Linked DNA regions of Caenorhabditis elegans. The protein of the gene in region 2 purifies or fractionates together with the protein of the main gene of each other region. This does not show direct contact. Each region holds a gene or a part of one and is shown on either strand. Other genes may lie near its edges. The genes, in order: mltn-5, ugt-7, srrt-1 and R11G1.1.

Evidence for each region.
Region 1: the proteins of ugt-7 (region 2) and mltn-5 fractionate together in Caenorhabditis elegans (co-fractionation; one large-scale study listed by BioGRID). This does not show direct contact.
Region 3: the proteins of ugt-7 (region 2) and srrt-1 fractionate together in Caenorhabditis elegans (co-fractionation; one large-scale study listed by BioGRID). This does not show direct contact.
Region 4: the proteins of ugt-7 (region 2) and R11G1.1 fractionate together in Caenorhabditis elegans (co-fractionation; one large-scale study listed by BioGRID). This does not show direct contact.

What each region holds. Positions count from the first base shown.
Region 1 is NC_003280.10:13,923,533-13,931,130, reverse strand, and holds mltn-5 (MLt-TeN (mlt-10) related), read right to left. Parts: upstream 5,923-7,598; 5' UTR 5,841-5,922; coding exon 5,795-5,840; intron 3,992-5,794; coding exon 3,802-3,991; intron 3,753-3,801; coding exon 3,601-3,752; intron 3,549-3,600; coding exon 3,317-3,548; intron 3,146-3,316; coding exon 2,890-3,145; intron 2,682-2,889; coding exon 2,427-2,681; intron 2,377-2,426; coding exon 1,849-2,376; intron 1,173-1,848; coding exon 615-1,172; 3' UTR 535-614; downstream 1-534. Other genes in the region: hot-3 (Homolog of Odr-2 (Two)), read left to right, coding at 150-258, 318-483.
Region 2 is NC_003283.11:4,996,491-5,002,335, reverse strand, and holds ugt-7 (glucuronosyltransferase), read left to right. Parts: upstream 1-1,769; 5' UTR 1,770-1,777; coding exon 1,778-1,987; intron 1,988-2,060; coding exon 2,061-2,220; intron 2,221-2,608; coding exon 2,609-2,698; intron 2,699-2,748; coding exon 2,749-3,014; intron 3,015-3,065; coding exon 3,066-3,298; intron 3,299-3,345; coding exon 3,346-3,488; intron 3,489-4,797; coding exon 4,798-5,288; 3' UTR 5,289-5,315; downstream 5,316-5,845. Other genes in the region: srr-8 (Serpentine Receptor, class R), read right to left, coding at 79-359, 404-573, 620-650.
Region 3 is NC_003279.8:4,130,636-4,135,757, reverse strand, and holds srrt-1 (Serrate RNA effector molecule homolog), read right to left. Parts: upstream 3,259-5,122; 5' UTR 3,258-3,258; coding exon 3,190-3,257; intron 3,135-3,189; coding exon 3,042-3,134; intron 2,997-3,041; coding exon 2,766-2,996; intron 2,601-2,765; coding exon 2,431-2,600; intron 2,376-2,430; coding exon 1,268-2,375; intron 1,212-1,267; coding exon 901-1,211; intron 854-900; coding exon 696-853; 3' UTR 521-695; downstream 1-520. Other genes in the region: dph-6 (Diphthine--ammonia ligase), read left to right, coding at 351-428; let-504 (NF-kappa-B-activating protein C-terminal domain-containing protein), read left to right, coding at 3,566-3,637, 3,695-3,756, 3,948-5,122. UniProt on the Caenorhabditis elegans protein: Acts as a mediator between the cap-binding complex (CBC) and the primary microRNAs (miRNAs) processing machinery.
Region 4 is NC_003284.9:3,657,645-3,662,521, reverse strand, and holds the start of R11G1.1 (EGF-like domain-containing protein), read right to left. Parts: upstream 3,031-4,877; coding exon 2,961-3,030; intron 2,916-2,960; coding exon 2,793-2,915; intron 2,749-2,792; coding exon 2,623-2,748; intron 2,360-2,622; coding exon 2,246-2,359; intron 2,078-2,245; coding exon 389-2,077; intron 337-388; coding exon 239-336; intron 192-238; coding exon 35-191; intron 1-34.

The DNA.
Region 1 (7,598 bases), on a different chromosome or scaffold from region 2:
AACACGTGGAAAAGTCGTGACGCGACACGCAACGCGCAGTAAATCTACCCCAGCCGTGATCGACTCAAAATGGCCTAGTTTGGCAAGCTCTTACATTAATAAAACAAGAGGGCCGTGTATCAACTCTGAATCAAATTCTGAGTTTCCAGGTCAACCAACAGGACACCGTCTCTACATGCGTGGCTGCGCACTGACGATAGCTAGAAGAGGCTTAAATAATCATACGCTCAGCATGTTCGATAGATATGATATTTGCAGGTTTGTTTTTTTTTTGGAGCTTTCGACACTTGGCCTAGGTTAATCAAATCCATTTCCAGGGACATGTCAGCGTCCGACCTATTCAGCCACGAACACGCCGACTCTCAACGCATTCGGGTATGCAGTTGCCTTGGCGATCGATGCAATTCGGCCATCTCCACGAGCAATTGTCAATCGCTTTCAGTGTTAGCAATTCTCGTTGCGCTCTCCTCTCTGCTTTTTTAACTTTTTTTAACTTCCTATCAAAAAATCTCTCTTTCCACATATCTCTTTGTCATTTTCCCTTTCCGCATTTTCTTTATTGCTGAATAACAATTTTTGTTTGAAAATAAAAACAAAATCATTATTAATTATTACTAACTCAACCAACTTGGAGACGCAAATACCGTAAACATGGCTCCCTTCGACTCGATCGCCGGGGATAGAGCATATGGAGAGAGGAACAGACCTGATATGTACTGTGGTGACAGTACTTGAGGTGACAACACAAATGGTGAAAGAACTATAGGGGATAATGCGAGAGGTGTCAGGATGAGGGGTGTCAGTGCAAAAGGGGAAAGAATCAGCGGGGTCATGACTTGAGGTGATAAAATAAAAGGGCATAGGACCAAAGGTGACAGGATGAATGGATTGAACACCCCCGGCGATAGCACAACTGGGTCCAGAACAACAGGTGAGAGGATGATAGGGACAAACATAAATGGGTCTAGAATGACTGGACTCAAGATTCGAGGCGATGCTATAAGGGGGACAAATAGCCAGGGGGACAGAATGACGGATCCAAATATTGCGGGGGAGTTGATCAGGGGTACAAAGACGGCGGGAGAGAGGATGAGTGCCTGCGATGCTACTTCTGGAGCATTGATGAGAGCAGTATTGACGACTGGGGAAAGGATTATGTCTTTTTGGCGGACCTGGAAATTTTTGATTTTTTACGAAAGTGGCCAGAACTACAGTAGGAGTTCTTGTTTAAAGGTGGAGTACCGAAATTTGAGACTTTGCTTTTTAGACCCAAAATGGTCCAAAACTATCAAATTTCGTAATGAGACGCTCTGAAAATTTTTCAAAAAAAAGTTATGGCCGCTCAAAGTTTTGTAAAAATGGCCAATTTTTAGCTAAAATTTCAAATTTTGGCAACTTCTCGGTGTCGCAGCGGTTGGAAAAAATGATGATACAAGTTTGTGCCCGCATCGACCAAAAAAGCATCTCAGCCAACAAAATAACACGTAATAAAATGCCAAAACATGCAGTAAAGGATGACAATCAAATAAAAATTAAGTTCCAACCGCTGCAGCACCGAGAAGTTGCCAAAATTTGAGATTTTAGCTATAAATAGGCCATTTTTTCCAAAAACTTTGAGCGGCCATAACTTTTTTTTTCGGCACTCTACCTTTAATCGGCCAAATTTTGCTAACGTAGGCTACTCGTTTGGCCTGACAGTTTTGGAGTCCCATGACTTATTATAGAGCTATGCTGTTAATAAGTAAAGTTGGTCAGATCTCAGATACTAATCACACAAAACCCGAATGTCCAGATCAATCTACTCTACTAATTGTAAGTATTCTAAGTAAGTAAGGTAGCAAGTCTCACCTCAAACTTCAACTTTTCATCTGCCACATCCTTAATCGTACTGTGAATCGATCTATGAATCTCTGCCCTCGTCATATTCTTATAAGTCCTCAATAACTTTGGATTCTTGAACGGAGACTGTTTTCCGTACATCAGTTGCATTTGCTTCGGTGTCAATACAGTATACCCGGTTTGATTCATATCTTTCAGTTGTTCAATTGAATAGGTTTTATCCAACTTCTCCATTAACTCTATCTTCCTCGCTTCTGATGGAAATCTTTCTGTGATATTCTCTTTCGTAAAATAAAGTGGTTGACCATCAGGACCTCTTCCCATCGCATCATCTTTCTTTCTCTGAGCATCTATTAATTTGTGCTCAGCGTCTTCCACGGCCTCAGCTACTCCAGTGGCTTCTACCAGTAGATCTAAAAAGTTCTGGGTGTCGGTGTCAGTAGTGAGAGCTCCGAGAATTGAGCTAAATGAAGTCTTCTTTTCAAGTCCGGTTCCCGAGTTGTGCAAGGAGAATAGAGAAGGTGAGAGTAGTTCAATCTGCAATGATCTGTAAGATTCAAAATCACATCTCCTGAACATCCACCTACCGTATCATTCTTCTCCTTCTTGTCTTCAGGTAAAACACTCATAAACCGAGGGCTAATCATTTTGACAGACTTCTCATCAAAATCTGTGGTGTTATGACCGCTGAGCTCCAATCCAATTTTGGTAGCCTGTCTAATAATGTCAATTGGTACCATCATGAGTTTTTCGTCGTCTGCCATATTAGAGACTTTTTGATAGTAGAGGTCCTTGACGTCTTCGTCGTCGATCAACTTCTCCAGTTCAGGGTTGGATAAAGTCTGAAATTATTTTTGGATTGTCAGAGTTTTTGTCACTGTGGTAGAACTATAACTAAACACTAAGTAGAACAAGAGATTAACAGAGGCCGTCTGGTTGTACTGAATTATAAAAAGGGTAGGGTAGAGTAAAATTCTCCCCTCATAAAAAATTTATAATTAGAGTGATAATTTCAATGGTCTAAGTACTCCCATACTAAAATAAACTGACCTTCATAAATCCATTGTCCTGCTTCTTCCTCTTCATACCCGAACGTCCGATGCTCTCATCTGCTCTGACTCTCTTGGCTTCTTGAAACACTCTCAACCTCTTCCGCTGTATATTCTCTGCTTCTTTTCGGTTCTTCCAATCAATGCTCTTTCTCTGTATACGCTCAACTATCTCCTGCCATTTGGATAGCTTGTCCTTGTGCTTCAAGGCTTTGACTGTATTCTTGAGATGTTTGGTGATAGTTGCAAATGGGGATCTAGAATTTTTGAGTTGGAATCTTAGGAAGCTCGTCGAGAAATTTTCTAAGACTTGCAAAATGGAAAATGGGATATACATATATATATAGAACCACACGCATGTCACAAAATTGAGCAAAAGGGTCGTATGAATTTTTGGCAGTAGGTAGGCATGAGGTAGGCAGACTTACTTGTCATAGTCTGACTTCAATGTGTAGCTGTTTGCATTTTTGACCGATCGCTTTGCTCGCAACGTCTTGAATGATCCTACCCAATTTCTAGCTTTCACCGCTTTTCCTATTAACTTTCTATTGTTCTTAGGATTTTTAGAAGCTTCATAGGCTTCCATACTTCTAAGCTTCTTCAATTTATCTGGCTTCATTACTGTTTTTTGCGGCGTTTTTTCAATTGAGCTGCGGGTCTCTGAAATTGGACGCTATTTCTGAGCTTTCTCCCGAGTAACCGAGTAACTTACTTTTATCAAAGTACTTTTTTCTCTTAAGCAATCGATTTTTCAATCCATCACTCTCCAAATCAACGAGACATTTTGCATGACTAGTGATATCATGAGCTTTTGAAGAGCACTTTTCATGCTTTTTCTTGTCATATTTCTCCACTAATTTTAACCTGAAAATTACGGAGCTTACTAGAGATCAGAAAACCAGAAACCCCTCACCTCCTAGTAGCAATTGCTGATATGAGCCCTGAAAATGCTTGATCCGTCCAGTGCTGCCAAAGTTCTGCTCCAGACTCTTTGGAAATTGGCAGGGAGAGTACCTTATCCTTATAGTAAGGAGAAGCTTTGATATCCTTAGCAGTGAGGGTCACATTCAATTTTTTCTCCAAGTTTAATGCTCCATGAATTTCTGTAAGATCCGTATTTCTCGAGGTTCATCGCCATCAATCTGTCTGCCACTATTAAACATTTACGACCCCACCGCTTTTATGACTGTGTACATAAACGGAGCGACGCTATCCGTCGATAAATCAGTTGGGGATGCTGCGCATTTCATTTTGATCGCGAGGAGTCCGCGCGTGGAATTACTTATTTTATTGAGTTTTAATTCATCAAACTACACATGAAAATTGAGGGGGATTTTGAAGCGCCACATAGTTCGGAACACTGCAACTTTTTCCTCACGAGGGACGAGGGAAAGTGGTTTCTAGGCCATGGCCGAGGGGCCGACAAGTTTCAGCGGCCATTTATCTTGCTTTGTTTTCCGCCTGTTTTCTTTCGTTTTTCATCGTTTTTTCCCGTTTTTTCTTATTAAAACTGATAAATAAATATTTTTTGCAGATGCTAAGACAATTTCCAAGTAAAAAAATTATGTATTCAGTGGGCAAGCAGCGGTGAAAGTGGGCATTGTAATATGATGGATTACGGGAATACAAAACCTAAACTTTTTCTGAAATATGATACATATGCTGCTTAAATGCTGAGACTACCTGATTTTCATAACGAGACCGCTGAAAAAGTTTTGAGGTTTCCAAAATTCAACTTTTTTGGTGAAAAAGTCGAGATTTTCGCACAAAAAGTTGAATTTTGAAAACCTCAAAACTTTTTCAGCGGTCTCGTTATGAAAATCAGGTAATTTCAGCATCTAAGCATCATATGTATCATGTTTCAGAAAAAGTTTAGGTTTTGTATTCCCGTAATCCATCATATTACAATGCCCACTTTCACCGCTGCTTGCCCACTGAATACATAATTTTTTTACTTGGAAATTGTCTTAGCATCTGCAAAAAATATTTATTTATCAGTTTTAATAAGAAAAAACGGGAAAAAACTGTGAAAAACGAAGGAAAACAGGCGGAAAACAAAGCAAGATAAATGGCCGCTGAAACTTGTCGGCCCCTCGGCCATGGCTTAGAAACCACTTTTCCTCGTCCCTCGTGAGGAAAAAGTTGCAGTGCGGAAGATCATTGAAAAATTATATCACATTTTGGATGCCTGCGTGCGTGCCTACCAGGCGGCCTTATAGGCAGGTTTTTTCTACGAGAAATCGGAAATTACCAACAAAAAAAAGTTGAGACTCTTCCATTCCTAGAAGTGAAAATTTCGAAAAATATCAACAAAAAAAGAAAGATATTTCAAAAGTCACTGGAATTTTTATGAAGCTTCTGAAATATTACAGTTTTGACCCAACCACCCTCTAAAACTTTAAAAAAAATTTAGAAGCTTTCAGGCAAATTGAAAGTTTTTTAGAAAGATATTACTCAGACGCAGAATTTTGCGATTTTTGTGGCCGGAGTACGGTGCCCGGTCTCGACATTCTAAATTTTTGTTAAATACAAAAAGGTTTGCGTTTTTAAATATTACTGTAATTTCAAACTTTCGTTGCTGCAAACAAATTTATCAACAAATGAAATGGAAAAGCAAAAACGCATGCATGCAAAAACTACGAAAAATCTAAAAATTGAAATTACAGTACTTTTCAAAGGCTTATCGTGTCGAGACCCAACACCTTATTTTGGTGCAAATGCGTATAACTTTATTGGAGAAAATTATCGGCAAATTGCCAGAATTTAAATTTCCGGCAAATCGGAAAACCAGCAAATTGCCGAAATTGACAATTTCCGGCAAACCGGCAAGTCCGCAATTTGCTGATTTTCCGAATTTATCGACAAAGATAATCACCATTTTACATTGATTATTAATATCCACTCACCTTTCCCAAACATCAGCATCACCACCAGCCCTATCCTCACCATCATTTTGAACCAGGAAAAAGAATAATGAAGATCAAATGATTGGATACACTTTAGGAATCGGTATCAATTTGTTCCGGAGGCGATAAAAGGATCATAGACGACGCCGCTAAACTTCCTAAGCCCGGGGAACAAAGCACGCCTTCTCCGACATAAAAGTGTTGCGGTTTTGGATTTTACGGCAATTAGGGAAAATGAAAATGAAAATGACACTGATTTTTGATTTTTTCGGCGGGAGAGGAAGAAAACTCTAGTTTGAATTCGAATTTTCCTCCAAAAAAGGCCATTTTTTCAAAAACTTTCAAACATTAAACTAGGACTTCCATGAGGTCACCGCCGAACCCCGAACTTGTCGGCCGCTTCCAAAGCTTACGCACTACGTTGCGCACACACCAAGCTAGTCGTTTCACGCCAAGCTGCGGAACCCTAAACGTGTCGGCCGCTTCCACACACAGCGGCGTGAGGCCCGCATTTCGCGTCTTACTAATCTGGGAGCCCTACACTAAACCATTAATGAAATGTATTTATTAGTTACCCATAGTAATTATACAATTTTTCAGTTTTTCTCTCATCTAGCTAAGCCAGCTCGGAGATGCAAAAACCGTCACCATTTCACCCTTCGACTCAATCGCCGGCGACAGAGCATACGGGGACAAGATAATTCCAGTGACATACTGGGGTGATAACACTTGTGGAGATAACACAAAAGGTGATAAGACAATTGGGGATAATAATAGTGGAGTAAGGATCAAGGGAGTTAGAGCGAAAGGAGAGAGAATTAACGGAGTCATGACTTGAGGGGACAATATAAAGGGGCACAGAACCAGAGGTGATAGGATAAAAGGATTTAAGATCCCAGGGGACAATATCACTGGGACCAGAGCAAGGGGTGATAGAACGATTGGAGCAAAGAGGAATGGGGTAAGAACTACCGGGCTCAAAATTCTGGGGGAAATGATTACAGGGACAAATACCCAAGGTGATAGGATGACTGCGCCGAAGACTGCTGGAGATTGAATCAAGGGTACAAAGAGAGCCGGGGAGAGGATAAGAGGCTGAGATGTTAGCACAGGGTTGTTGATGATTGGGGTCAGAACGATTGGGGAGAGCACGATGTCTTTTTGGCGGACCTGGAAATATAGTGTGATGGGTTTAGAGTAGGCTGAAATAATTGTCTGTTTAATATGATAAATTTAAATTAATGCTTAATAATTTTCAGTTATAAGATGAGATATCTTGCAAGGTGAGGCACAATTCTTGTACCGCATTTCCAGCAGCATAATGTGATAGAAATAATCAAAGTTGCTAGTCTAAGTCTTGCCGAGCTCGGCAAATTTTAAAATTTGCCGCACACATCAAAAACTTGGCATTACAATTTTGGCCAAAACTGTTGATTTTGGCCTCAGAAATTTAGTAAAACGCCACAAAATTGGATAATTTTGATGTTTAAGCAGACACACCACACGGAACTTAATCAGATACCAGAGAAACCATAAAAAAGTATCGAATGTGCCGAGCTCGTCAAATTTTTAGATTTGCCGCACCCCTGGTCTAAGTGTTGCGTAAAACGTTTGATCTAACTCTTACCAATCATTTACCAAATATTTTTTTGTACTAGCATATTTTCAATTTGAAATAAAATTGGGTTAAACTTCGGCACGATATAAACCATAAGTTTGGCGCCAATTTTCAGGTTCTGACTAATTTCTTCTGGAGCAAAAGTTACTATCTCCATTGATTGTAGCAAAAAATAATGCTAGAACT
Region 2 (5,845 bases):
AAACACGATTTGTCTGTTTGCTACAATTTTATTTTATTTGACGATGATTTGGATAACATTTTCAAAGAACTCACTTACCCTCCATAATAAACTTTTCCATGAACAAAATTGTAAATTATCCAAGACATCATTGCTACAAACCAAGGAATTGAGAAGCCAAGTGCAAGACCATGTAGGATTCGGAATTTATCTAATTTTGAGTTTGCCGCCTGTCTTAACATTCGAACCCGAACCAGTCGCTTGCAAAACTTTGGGATCAAACCATTTTTAGTCCATCCAAAAAGGCATAGGGAAAATACAAATCCAGTTAAACCAGGATACCCGAAGAAAATTCCTTCTCCCCATCCTAATTCTAACGGCTGTAAATAAGTTAATTTAATTTTTATATACAGTGCACACTTACAGCTCCAACTGCTTCCATTAAAAATGAGATTCTTATTAGCGTTACCACAACCATAACAACTCCCAAAAGACATGTGAAAACAGAACAACACTTAGATTTTGTGGAGCAGTCTAGCAAAGAAGCTTTCACCAGGAATCTGAATGGACCAAGTAAGTCAGATGGTGTGTCATCTGAAAATGGAAAATAGTACTTTGAAAACTAGAAACTGAGAATTACCATCGAAGGAAGATACAGGAAGAGTTGACATTGTTACTGTGTATGTTTTAAAGTTTTATTTGAAAACTCTACTATTTTCAAAAATTTTCCAACCTTTATATCTATTCGTTGAATTGTTTTCATAAGCCTCGGCCTGCTAGCACAAATCATACAAAACGGAGCAGACGGAAAGTAAACCAAAGAGACGCAGACGTAGGGAGCAGCGACCAATAAGTTGCAATACATACCAGGAAGATCCACGACAAAAATGTTGGGTACATTTTGTATGATTCGTTGTGGTTGTGAGTCATTTTAAAGGAGATTATAGATACTCAACTTGGTGATATGACCTGAGAGATAGTTTTTTAATAATACACGCGGTTGTTTCATTGCGACGCTCTGTGAGCAATGAATGTTTCGAGAATTTGAGAATTGAAACAATTCGGCTTTTAAATATTTTCACCTCATTGTTGTGCTGACCAATATTTTGTTTGCTTTTAGTTTTTTGGGGACGAGTAATGTTTTCGAAACTACTCAAAATTTTTGAAATAAATTTGATTATTTTTGACCTTTATAGAACTCCTATTAAAAATCAAATTCGACTTCGGTTTTGTAAGTTGCATGCACATACTGTAGAAGTGATATTATTTTTTTAAGCTAAAATTTAGCTGTATATAAAATTTTAAATCAGAAATGAAGTATATTTGAATGAACTTTCAACTCACTTTTTAACGAAAATAAATGGTTCATATTGATTTTATTAAAATTCATAGACATGGAATGATTTTTAGAAATTTTCGAGAACTAGTTTTTTATTCAAAAGAATTCAAATTTTTTGACCGAATGTTTTCCATTTTCCATGTCACAATTTTCGGTCCAAATTATTATTCATACGCTGAAAAATCAACATTGCTGAAAAATTTACTTTTCTTCAATATTTACTATTTATAGATTTCTATATCCTGCAAGTCATTCAATCCTAGCAAGTGAGCAAACTTTCTGTGCATATTTTCTATGACTGAAAGTAATGAGTCATCAGTGAACTAGGAAAGCTGGCACTAAAAAAACAATTTCCAAAAGTTGATTTTGTAACTTCCGTCTCTGAACTTCTTAATGATAAGATAATACGTTTCTTTATCATCATTGCCTAAAAAGTAATCGTCATTTTTCTTATTCGCCATGCGTCTCGTGTTCTTAACTTTTTTCTTGCAATATTCTTATGCTTTTAAATATTTAATTATTTCCCCAATATACAGCTACAGTCATGTGAAGTTTATGAGTAACATTGCTGATACACTTGCAGATCATGGGCATGAAGTTGTTGTATTTCAACAGCAAATTGTTGAAGCTTTGCGAGATAAAAAAGTTATCAAAAATCCAGATATAAAAGTGAGTGTCTTTGGTTTGAAAAACCGTACGGATGTTTAAAATAAAGGTGAAGAATATATCAATTCGTTTTCAGATTATCAACTATGAAGCTAACACTGCTGGAAAAGAGTTCTACCGTAACCGCCCGAAAAGTTCAGTTACCAAATATTGGACTACCAATCAGGCCGCAAATCCATCGGCGGCAGATCAGTTTGCAGAGGCGATGAGCAAGGACTTGGAGCATATGTGTCTACGTAAGTATATTTTTTCGGATTAATTTAGAGGAATATCTTCACAATAATCAAATTAAAAACATCAGAAAAATTAATTGGAATTTTCTGGATAAATGCCGCTTGTCACAAACATTTCTAAATAAAGCACATTTTTCCGCAAAAAAATCCCATTTTCATCTTGTTGTCTAACAGTTTTTTTCAGAAATTTACATTGTACTTCTTGAAAATTATTAAATTTTTAACTGAAATGCTTTACAAGTTGCTGAAACTCTGACTTAACTTTGCAATATGCCCAGTTTTTGGCAGGCTGAAATTTTGTCCAGTTTTTGAGTAAACTTAAAAAATTTGAACAAGCTTCTGAATATTTTCGGACTCCTGTATTTTTTTTTCCAACTTGCAATATTTTCAGAAGTTTTCGAAGACAAATCTCTTCACACAATGCTAAAATCAGAACATTTTGATGTTTTACTTGCGGAACCATTTGATCCTTGTGGTCTTTGTAAGTGCTTAATTTTTCTCTTCCTTTCCAGCGAAATAACCCATTTTCAGATCTTGGAGACTATCTAAAAATTCCATCAACCATTGTTGCAATGGCTTCATCTAGAATTGACCCAGTTCAGTGGGCTCTGGGGCAGCCTAGCGGTCTAAACTTTATACCTGGACCAGATAGCAAGTATGGCGAAGAGTCTGGTGTTTGGGATCGTATTAACAATGTTTGGATGTTTTTTATGAGAACTCGAATGTTTCGAGCAGTTTATTGGAATCTTTTAGATAAACTAAGATTTAAAACTGGTCTTGAAATCAGAAATATTGATGTAAGATAGCATTATTTTCTGCTGAAAACCAAAGTAAAATGTATTTTCCAGGAAATCGTGGCCGAAAGTGCATACTTATTTTACAACTCAAATCCATATCTTGATTTTCCCTTTCCATCTCTCACGAAATGTGTCCCGATCGGCGGATTTTCAATGAATACTACCAATTGGAAATCTGAAAACTTGCCTGAAAATTTGAAAAATATTCTTCAAAAACGACCAAACACCGTTTTCATTTCATTTGGATCAGTGATCAGATCAGCTGATATGCCACAAGAATACAAGTACGATCATTTTAATTTGAATTCTGAAAATATTGAGCAGTTTTCAGAAATGCAATAATTGAAGTTACAAAATTGATGTCAGACGTTACATTCATCTGGAAGTATGAAGACGAGAAAGATGAAGAGATGAGGGGAAACATTCCAGAAAATGTACATTTGATGAAGTGGTTACCGCAGCCAGCATTACTTGGTAGGTGCATAATAATTTGTTGGGGTCGATTTTAAACTTTAAAAATTAAAAACTGATTTAAAATGAACTTTTTTAAAAATGTTTCTTCGGGGGCTTGTTTCAAATTTTAAGCGCATTCCGAACTTAATTACAAAATTTTTCTAGGTGCCAGAAACTTCCAGTTCAATAAAAAAAAATCTAAATATCAGGCATATATATGACCGCATTTTTTTATTGGAAGATTTATTTAGTTTTCTTAACTTTAAAAATTAATATCTGACTTCAAACTAACTATTTTCAAAATTCCCGTAGCCATAAAAAGTTTCATATCCGCTGAGTTCAAGAAACTTCCCGAACTTGATCCATACTCGAGGCATCTCAATTTCTTTCAATTCTTCTTTTTGGATATTGTGGCTACTTTGCTCATTTTATTCATGTTGTCTGCGTTGTTTGTTTATTGGATAACTTACGTTATTTGTTCGGTTAGGTCTAAATCAAAAATGGAATGATTTGAAAATGAAATAGTTAAATTTATTATGGTCTCAGCCATATTGGCCCAATTTCTTTATGTCATAAACGTTTCAAAATGTAAAAATTGAACAATTAGAGCTGTCATGAAAATCGTCGCCGTTTTTGGGCCACTCTGGTTTTTTAGGGCTGCAAACTCGGCATGCTTCACAAGTCGTTCGATTGGATTAATTGGTTGTTTTTGAAGAAGATTGGATAGCTTTTTGGCGTTCGCCAGATATTTTGGATTTTGAATCATATTTTGAATAACTTCCTTCAGTTTTTTAGCATTTGAAAAAAGTTTCATATCCGCTGAGTTCAAGAAGAAAAAGTGGATTTTCATAAATTTTAGTGCACAATTTGAAATTTAACAATTTTTAAAAATGTTTCTTCGGGGACTTGTTTCAAATTTCAAGCGCTTTCAGAATTTAATTAAAAAATTTTTCTAGGTGCCAGAAGCTTTCAGTTTAATCAAAAAACTAAATTTCAGGCATATATATGATTTTATGATTTTTTTGCATTTTTTTATTGGAAGATGTATTAAGTTTTCATAACTTTAGGCCAAATATTATAATAAAAACCTTTTTTAAATGAAAATAGAAGAACAACTTTCATCCTCCCCTAGTGAAATAATTTGAGGGGGTACTTCCCTCTCTAAATCTGAAAACCGTGACTTCAAGTTCAAAAATTCAGTTCGACTCCGAAACCAAAATGTAAAAGTATAACTGTGCACTTTTTCAACGCGCGAAAACGATTTCTCAAACACCTGTCAATATTTACAAGAACAGGCAACAAAGTTCTCTAATTCATTTGTATCTTTCAGCCGATTCACGTGTTTCCCTGTTTATTACTCATGGCGGTCTTGGAAGTATTATGGAAGTTGCGTATTCTGGAAAACCAGCAATTGTGATTCCCCTATTTTTCGATCAGCCGATGAATGGAGAAATGCTTCGAAGACATGGCGGAGCCGAAGTTTATTCGAAATTTGAACTTTCAAATGCTAAAAAACTGAAGAAAGTTATTCAAAATATGATTCAAAATCCAAAATATCTGGCGAACGCCAAAAAGCTATCCAATCTTCTTCAAAAACAACCAATTAATCCAATCGAACGACTTGTGAAGCATGCCGAGTTTGCAGCAGAATTCAAGAAACTTCCCGAACTTGATCCATACTCGAGGCATCTCAATTTCTTTCAATTCTTCTTTTTGGATATTGTGGCTACTTTGCTCATTTTATTCATGTTGTCTGCGTTGTTTGTTTATTGGATAACTTACGTTATTTGTTCGGTTAGGTCTAAATCGAAAATGGAATGATTTGAAAATGAAATAGTTAAATTTATTATGGTCTCAGCCATATTGGCCCAATTTCTTTATGTCATAAGCTTTCCAAAATGTAAAAATTGAACAATTAGAGCTGTCATGAAAATCGTCGCCGTTTTTGGGCCACTCTGGTTTTTTAGGTCTCTTTTGGCAGGCGATAGCGGGCAACACAGCGCAAGTAGCAAGTAGCAAGTAGCGACAAGTAACACCTTCACAAACACCTACGTGCCTGCCTACTCGCTTACTTTCCTCCATATCGATGTGCCTACCGATACTTACTTCATGTTATTGGGTTCCCTGAATCCCATTTTTTCCATAAGACATCATTGTTTTAATTGAAATATTTACTTGAACTTGTGTAACTCAATTCCTTTCCACCACTCACTGAACATCATTTTTATTTCAAACCCACCGAAGAACACAAAAAAAACAAACCTAAAAAAATGCCATACCGACTTCCGACGAACCTCAACTTGTTGATCTGAAAAACAAACATAATTTACTGATCTCCTTGTATTATTTGAATGTGTGTATTTACTAATTTTTGAAAG
Region 3 (5,122 bases), on a different chromosome or scaffold from region 2:
TGCAACATATTTGGCGAGCACAATATCGTGTAGCGAAAACTACCGTAATTCTTCAAATGACTACTGTAGCGCTTGTGTCGATTTACGGGATTGATTTTCGAAAATAATTAAAATTCTTTATTTATCGAAAAAATATAGAAAATTATGTGAAGAAACCCTGTCACTATTCGAAAAGAAATTAATCTCAAAAAATCTAGCCCGTAAATCGACAACAGCGCTACAGTAGTCATTTAAAGAATTACTGTAGTTTTCGCTACGAGACAATCTGCGCGTCAAATATGTTGCGCAATACACATTCTCAGCTCCCGTAATACTTGAAATCCAACTTTCAACATTCTGTATTTTTCCAGACAGTAACCCACCAAGATGATCCCATTGCTCCTGTGTTCTACCTCCGACTGAAAAAGATGCACTTGGAGGACAAGTGAGATGGGAAAACATGTACTTTTGTTAATTTTAAATGTTATATTTACTTTTCTTGTTATGATGATTGTTTTCTAATAAAAAGTTCCGTTGAGTTACACAGAATCATATTTCATTAGGGACGTATTGAAAATGGAGCGTTTTTTAAAAAAGGAGATTATTATTGGCCATACAAAAACATTTAGTTAAAACTAATATTTAATTGAGAAGGGGGAAATAAATAGCATAATTTGTTGTGCATATATTTGAATTGGATTCAACGTAGGATGGAATTATGGAATATCATCTGGAGCATCCAAATCGCGATACGAGACTGGCTGACGACGTGGCGCATCCTCGAAGTAGCGTCCACCACCACCTCGTCCACCAAGTGAATGTCGAGGAGGGAATTGGGGACGACGATCATATCCTCCACCGCCAAAAGAGTTTCCTGAAAATTAATCATATTTATGAAATTTCAAGAGTTGAACAACTCACTTCCTCCACCACCAGGTCCTCGATCATCGTCTCGTTCTCTTCCATATCCACCTCGCTCACCACCACCACCTCCACGATGATCATCTCTTGGAGCTTGTTTGGGCTCACAGTCGACTGGTCTTTGGGCGTCGGCAAGATAATTGTTGAAAAAGTCAGCTTCTGCTCTCGCTTCCTCCAGCTTGTCTTCATGTTTAGACTGCAAGTGCTTTCGGATGAATTCAGGTCCCTTGAATTTCTTTCCAGAAAGCGGACAGAGCCATTTATCCTTTGCCAACTCGACAGTATTCTTTTGAATAAAAGCTTCAACTTCCCTGAAAATTTGGGTTTGTTAAAAATTATTTTTAAAAAAGCAAATTTTTTCACTTACTTTTCTCCATCCTTCTTGCCCATTTTCTCCAATTCTTCCTCGCTTACATACTGCTTTTCAATCAACCCTTTCTCAATGCGGCTATTGAATCCCGAAATAAAATCGTTCACAAATTTCTGTGGAACGACGAGAGCTCCATCCTCGTCAGTAGTGATTGATACTCCAGAAGGCGGCTGCCCACGAACGTGAATCAAGCCACATCGATTCGGCATCGAATCTTCCTGCGCATAATGTCCGTGATTATAAAAATCGATGGAATGAACAATGCGAAGGTAAACGATGAGAAGATCGAGAGCCTTCAGGATATTATCATCGCGCTCAAACCGAATCTTTTCAGCTGGTGCTTCACCTCCATTCGAGACTCCCAATAATTCAGCTTCCTCTTCACTAATATCATTGAGAACATCATGTGGAACAAGTGATTTAACTTCTTTAATCAACGGATTCGTTGAAGCAGCGACTAAATCAACGCCCATACGAATATCCATCTCACGATCAGCATCAGCTTCATCAGCAGCGTTGAACAAACCAATCTTCTTGTCATAAAGAACAGTGAGCTTGACAGCAAGCTTCAGATCGTTAATCGCAACTTGCTTATGAGATGCAATCCCATTATTGGTACGAACACGACGAGTAATGTCACGGTTGATGATTGCATTCAGATCAGTTTCTCGCAGACGATGTGCGTTGAGTGCCCAGCAGATTTCTTTGATATTGATATCTCGCTTGAATGTAGCCCATCCTCTTCTGTAGAACTTTCTTTCGGCAATTCCATCGGTCAGAGCAAGACGTAAAAATCCTGGGCTCTTTTTACAGAGACCCTCTAGTTCCTCATATGTGAGACCTGGTGGGATATTTCTCAAGAAAACCGAGCAGGTTCTGTGGATGTTGACCTTGTTCGATGACTTTTCGGTTCCATCTTCAATGGCTCCCTCTTCCAACTCTTCCGTTGCTCCGGATTCTTGTTTTACTTCTGGCTCTTCTTTCGGCTGTTCGGTTCCATTCCCATTCTCGTCTTTTTTAATGTCAGCGAGTGACTCGTCTTCTAGTTTTTGAGCCAGAACAGCTTTCAACTCGTCTTCAGTTCCATTTTCCAGCTTGACAACAACTGAAAATACAACAAAATTAAACATATATTCGAAACCTTTAAAAACAAAATCTACCTGAATCTAGCATTCTAATGATTGCCTCCGCATCTCCGAAATCCAGAGAGAATTTATTGAATTGTCCCTGCTCCTTCAACTCATTGAAAACCTGCAAGCGCTTCTGCACATTTTCCAAATGCGCCTCTCGCAACTTCTTCGCATCATCCGGTTTGTATTTAAGACGGAACCTGAAATAGATGTTGAAAAATTAGAACTCAAGATATTAAAAGACAACGGGTATTGGAACAAAATGTGAATGGCATCCGTGCCGAGTGAAAAATTCAAAGATATAACCAATCCGTTGACCGCGGCATAATGCGCCTCTGGTCTTGAAAATCGAAGCTGAAATTTACCATTCTTCGTCTTTATGGGCACGGAAGAACCGTTCAAGTTGATGTTTTCTATGTTCTGTCTTGTACTCATTATATTTTTTGATAGCATCTTCTTCCGAGATATCATCTTCCTGGCTAGTGAGGAACTTTTTGAATGTTTGAAGTGGTCCCGAATATATGGAATCCGATTCAGTGGGTAAATCCGAACCATTACCAGAACGACTTACGGGATCGAAACTGTCATCTGCGTCGCTGAAAAAACATAGATTTTCAACGTAAACAAAAAACGATACTAACTCTCCACGACTCCGCTTTACTTGGTAATCATCTCTTCGTCCTCCAGGACGCTTGTTGTCATAGCGATTGAATCCGCCTCCACCACGGCGATAACTGAAACAGAATGAGTGATTTTTTAGTATTTGAAATATAATAGAAAGAAACTTACTCCTCATCACGACGTTCACGGGCGAATTTGTCACGGCGGCGATCGCCATCATCATCAGAGTCCACCATTCTGTAAATAAGAATTTATTTGATAAATTGAAGTGATTCAGAAGAAATCAAATTTATTTGGATCAAAATAAACACATTTTGCGAGCAGAAAATGCAGAAAATCACTGAAAAATATGCTAAAGAACGCGCAATGTTTTTTTCCAATTTGAACGCTGCACGCCGCACGGTTAAAGTGGGCGGAGACTTGCTCGGCAACACCGCCGCGCAGAAATTCTGTTCTTTTTTATCTCCAGTCATTTTCGAAATCATTTTTTTATTGAATTCCGGAATTTTTTGATTGCGCGCCGATTTCTACTTCAATTCACAAGATGAGTGATATTTCTTTGGATTATGAAGGCAGTTCAGATGATTCACGAAGTTCAAGATCATCGTCGAGAGAGGTACTTTGCCGTTTTGCACGTTCAAAAAATGTTATTTTCATTTAAAATTACTTTTAGAACAGAAGAAGAACGAATAGTGGCAGCGGGGACAAAGACAAACCAATGTGGAAGTCAAAAAGGTGAGTTTTCAATCAATTTTTGCTTAAAAAATACAACATTTTCTCAAACCAGAATAGGAAAATCGCGCTTTTTAAACTTGGATTTTTTCGATTTTCTTTTGTAATATTTCTAAATTTGAGACTACTTTGGATTTTCTGAAGCGAAATTTACGTTTTTTTAAAATAAAAATAATTATAATTTATAATTTCAGAGATTCCTCCAGAAGTAGTCGAAGTAGAAGCCGTTCAAGTTCCGAATCAGACTCCCGTTCTCGATCTTCAAGCCCAGTTGTAAAAAATTCGCCTCCAAAACGAAAACGAGAGCCAATTCGTGCTCCGAGTGCCTCACCGCCACGAAGACGTCGTGATGATTCTCCAAGAAAACGAAGCCGATCTCCACCACGTCGTACTCGTCGTAGTCCTTCTCCACCAAGACGTCGTCGAATTTCAAGGAGCCCAGTCAGAAGAAGCCGATCTCCACCACGACGTCAAGTTTCCAGGAGTCGATCTCCTCCTCCGAGAAGACAACAACGCTCAAGAAGTCCACCACCAGCAAAACGTAGACGAGATCAGAGCCGTTCAAAGTCTCCACCAAGAAGAAATTATAGACAACGACAACGAAGCGGCTCGCCGCCTGTTAGAAATTGGAGGGATGAAGAAGAAAATCGTAGAGCTGAAATGTGGTCAAAAAGACGTTTCCAGCGAGTTAATATCCAAGCCGATGGCCTGAATAACATCTGGGGACATTCGCCAACTCATGAGGAGATACATGACACTTATAAATTGAGAGTTGCGGCTGAAGAGATTCAAGCAGAAAATGAAAAGAAACGAGAAGAACTGAAAGAAGATAGAAGGAAGGAGAAGAAAAGAGAAATGAGAGCAGTTAGAAATGTTTCTGAAGACGATTCTTCGACATCTTCTGAATCGGAGGAAAGTGATTTTGAACAGAAGAAGAAGAAGAAGGTGAAGAAATCAAAGAAAAGTAAAAAGGATAAAAAGAAGGAAAAGAAAGAGAAGAAAAAGAGCAAAAAGGCAAATAAGGAGAAAGAAGAGAGAAGAGCTCGTCGTGAGCAACGAAAGAAAGAACGTGCTGAGCTGAAGAGAAAGATTAATAATCGTTCTGATACTGAAGAAGAATGGGAAGAAAAGCAGTCTGAAAAGATTGTTGGCACGATTGGAACATGGAAAGAAGGAAGTATGTCACCGACGCCAATTCTCCCAGAACATATTAAACAACGTGATCAAGGTGGTGGTTATGATGTTGAGAAGCCCGGAAACTATGGTAAAGATCTACTAAAAGGAGAGGGCGCCGGAATGGCTGCGTACGCGGCTCGCGGAGAACGTATTCCACGACGAGGAGAAATCGGTTTATCGTCTGGAGAGATTG
Region 4 (4,877 bases), on a different chromosome or scaffold from region 2:
TACATGATATGGTTTATAAGCTGTGCACACTCACCTTCTGCAGTCAGATTCAAGTTTCCAGGCTCCCCGAATGATCTTGTCGTTAACAATCGATCGATCTCTTGCAAAGTGCAGTCACTACATTGAACAATAGCAACTAATGCAGAATCATGTTCCGCCGAACGAATGCACGATTTATAAGATTGACCAATCTGCAAAAACTTCCAATATGAAAAATAATTGATACCCACAAATCTACCTTTTGATGTAAAATCCGCTGTTTTTGCTCAAGCGATGCCTTATCTGTATTACAAACTGTGTTAACCTTCACTTTGACAACCACCAATGAAAGAGTTTCTGAAATATTTTCAAGCAAAATTAATTAAAGCGATACAATTTTGAACAATACCTTCACATTGCCCGTTCCCAGTGTTTTTGAATTGGCCATTTGGACAATCACAAATTACCGATCCACCAGAATCAGACATTCTTCGGAGGCAGTCATCAACCTGTGGGTCACCTGTCTTCACTGTTGTTGTTGGAACACTTGAAGTCGATACCGATTCGAAGGTTGAACTGTTTTCGGTGACAATCGTTGAAGTACCACTAGATGGTGTTGGAGTCGTTTTCACTGTTGGACCAATGTGTATGACTTTATCTGATCCTGGTACAATTTGTCCTTCATGTTCTCCCAAATTTGTTTCATTTTCAATCTTCGTCGACTCATTATTATCGATTTCTTCAACAACCCCGTTTGGTCCAACATGAATAATTTTTGTTCGAGATGTAGCCTTCAAAGTGGTGGTTTTCGGTGTAAGATTTCTGTCTATCTGAGTTGTCTGAGCATTGTTTGTAGAAGGCGTCAGCAATGTTTTTTCTTCAATGAAACCTTCTGGAACTTTCGAAGGATGGGTAATATGGCTACCAGGTGTTGTGAAACCCCCTCCCGGTATTTCGAAACCAGAGTGAGGTGGTACTTCCGTTTGCACATACTTCTCAATTTCGGCTTGTGGGATCAGTGTTGGTAATGCACCATGAGGAGGATTTTGAGTTACGAAAGGTCTATGGGGTGACTGGGGAGTTGTGAAAAAACTTGGAATGGAGAGTGGTCTTGGTGTTGCGAAAGTTGGAAGAATGCGACCAGGAATTAATGGTATTAACGTGTCGGTACCGGATTTTTGTTCATCCGGTATTGTAACACCAGGATAAGGTTTTGTTTTTTCAGATTCCCATGGTCGGGTAACTGGGCGGAGGTCTACAGGTGGTACATTAGGAAACATGTCAAAAGGTCCTGGAGTTGTCATTGGAACACTGGGCCTAGTGAGCATGTCAAATGGATTCATTCCTGGTGGTTGCGATATTCCATCACCCGTGCCTCCTCCATACTCAAACTCTGATGGTAGATCTGGTTTTCTTGAAGTGACCGGTCGGCTGATTATAATTCCCGGTTTTATTGGTGGAATCTTTTCCGAACCCTCTTCTATAGTTGGATACGTAATCGGCGGAAGTGGGCCTTGATGGTGTGGGTCCGGTGTGGTAGTCACAATTGGAATTGGCCAGTTGTTTAGAGGTGAGGGCGCAGTGATGGGTGGCAAGTCTGGCCGTCCAGGAAAAATGAGCGGAGCCTGAGGAAACTGCGTCTGGCTAATTGATGGAATTGTTATAAGGCGAAATGTGTGAGATTGAGTGACAGCTTCTGTTGGAGGTACAGGTGTTGATGAATGTGTTGGAAAGAAGTCTCCTATTGGCTCATTTGGTTTGTGGAAGCCAGTTACTCGTGATATTTCGACACCGGATGGTTCAGGGAAGAAATCCCCAAGTTTTGATTCTTCACTTGGAAATACTGGGAAGTTACTCAACGGTGGTTTTGTATTTCCCAGCAGAGGAGATGTAATAAACGGATATTTTGGAGTAGTATAGTCTATCACAGGATTAGATGGCAAGGTGACGGTAGATGGTTTCGAGCACATTGAGCAACCTTCCACGTAGAGAGACGGGTGATCTTCCGGTGGTGGTGGTACTGGTTTTGGGAGATAGAGTCCGGATTGATTTCTGGCACATCTATAGGCGTGTTCAAGAGGCATCACATAGTTTTCGTCTGGAAAAACAAATTCTGATTTTGAACTCTCCAAATTTCCAGTTTAATCCACACAAGAATATTTCTTCAAACAATATTACAAACGTTAGTTCCAGAGAATAACACTACATACTATTGCGATCAAAAATTGTTTTTATCAATTTGCCAATTTTTTAAAAGTAAAAATACCTTCATCGCTGCCATCGTTACAATCCTTCTTCCCGTCTAACAACCATTCCCACAAAACACACTCTCCGTAACCTTTGCACGGAAATGACGTTTCATCCGCACATAGTTTTTCTTCTGAAAATTTAAAATTTCACTAACTTATTCCCGTATGTTTTTTCTCCCAACTATTGAGTATTAGCTGCAGACAAATGACAAAAATTCAGACAAAATAAAAATATTCTGAATTTTTAAATAATTGACATGCTCTATTAAAAACTGCCCAAAAAAGTTGGCAAACGAAATTCCATGGCAGTTTTCAATTGTTTAGCAGGAAGTTACTCCCTTCAAATGTCTAATATACTAATCGAGATTATTAGGTAAACCTAAAATGAACTCACTTGACGTAGAACACCATGGAAGTTGTTTTGATGAACCGTCACATTTAGGATAAACAATACATGGAAGTGCATCTTTGTAATCTGCACAATAAACTGGACCACAACTAACTTGACCGATGAAACACCCTAAACGTGAATTACCTTAAAATCATATTGCTTCATGTACTTACATTCATCGCTACCATCCATACAATCAGGTTTTCCATCTCGAAATTGAGAAATTGGAACACACTGACCTAACCCGCAATCATAGTCACCCAACATACAACGTCCTGGTACCCTCATTCGAATTGCTGAAAATTGGGACATGAAATTGAATTTTCTGAAGCTTCACCTACCATCATATGATAAAAACTGCGAAGAAGCAAAAATTGGAAAGACGACCAAATATAGACAGACGGTCAGCATGGAAAGACTGGAACTGGTTACATGTGTACTCTTGAGCAGACAACATCAGAATGTCTCACTCATCCAATTATGTTGATCTTTTCAATTGGGATCTGTAAGCGTTTGAAATTTTTCGAAACCTTTTTAAAATTTGCAGAAAAAAAATAAAATTTTTAACATCTCAAAAATTATTCGGATAAATATATATACTGGCATGATTGGGAGGCGGGTAATACGACAGGAAAAGTATAAGGAGCGATTAAAGTGCACATTGGAACAATTGGTTAGCAGTGTCCATTACATGAGCAATAATAGCTCTTTGGAATGCGTCAGTAACTATAGTCGGTGAGTTGAAACAAGAAAACACACGAAGATAGGCTGCGGGACAAGAAAAGAAAGCGAGCGCAACCTCCATTTCCGATCATTTTCCATCAATCTTGCTGAGTTCTTTCAAGTAAAGAACAAGTTTCGGGAATGAGTATAATTTTTTTTGGAAGAATGTAGATGGTATAAAAATAACTTTTAGTTGTTTTTACATTTCAAGGTGGAGCCAGTGGGGAAATTGTTGAAAACCACTCCGATCGTGCCAAAATGATCAAATATCATATTTAAAATTTTCAAACGTGTTTTGAATGCTTTCTTATAAAAACATTGTTTCAAAAGTGGTAATTACTTATTTTTGCAATGTTCTTGAAAGCGGTCGGAAAAAAATGTATCTTTGAAAATGTATTATCTAGTTATGTTTCAAGAATTGTAGGGATTCAAACATGCAGCAAAGCTATAGTTTTCTCAAAAAGTGGCATAAACTCAGTAATTGATAATAAAAAACAATGGTACAAAGTTATTAAAGTTTAATTAAACGCAAATAAATATCAAATTGTTAAATAATTGTAAAATCCCAATCTGACTATGAGAAGAGGTCAATTATGAACCATACAATATGAAATGCGGTAAATTTTATAAATTTTTTAATTTTTTAACAAGGAAAATATTTCAGAGGAGCTTTATAAACCAGAAAAAAAATTGAAAAATGAACAAATATACCTCTATTTTTGATAATTAGCCATTAACAATTCTTGATTAATTAAGAGAAAGTAATTTTTAAATGACCGTATTTTAAAGAAGTGATAGGGAGTTGAAAAAAAATTTAGTGAAGTGGTAAATACAGTACATATATTTTACGAACTTCCTAAATGGATGGACAAAGTAGAAATATCCAGAAATAGAGAGCTCAAACTATACTAAGAAAAAAATGAGCGCAAGGTCATTGTACTTGAAACAAACTATTAGTCAACACCAACAAAGAAACCATCTGAGCATGATTAACAAAGGAAAGATAACACATATGTGGTATTCGGCAAAAAAAGTATAGTTTTTGGTAAGTGGGCAGCAAAAGAATTGATGACCGCACGGGCGCTTGCCTTTCCTCCCACAGAGGTGCGCCTTTTATGCTCTTCCGTTTTGTGGTGGACCTTGCTTCTGACCACTCAGTCTACCTCCAATAACTCACTTGACCTACTCTTAAAACTTGCTTCATCTTTTTTTGCTACGTAACATTTAATAAATTACGTCAGTGAGCTATAAGAAATCAGTTTTCAGATCCAATAAATCTTATGACGGAGTTTTGTGCAGTTGTATTGCAACACTGGTTGACAAAAAGTATAGTCCGACATGAAAACTCAAAAAATGGCGATTCAAAAACTTAGCAACTTCCGGAGCAAGTTTGCATGCACACATATACATGAAATATTTTAAGAGAGTATAAAGTCTGAGTGGAAAGGTTTTTCTTACGGGGGTCGTGACAGGAAACGGATCCAACACCAAAAGTAACCAGAAACTTTTTTTAATTTTAGCTACTACTTTTTTAT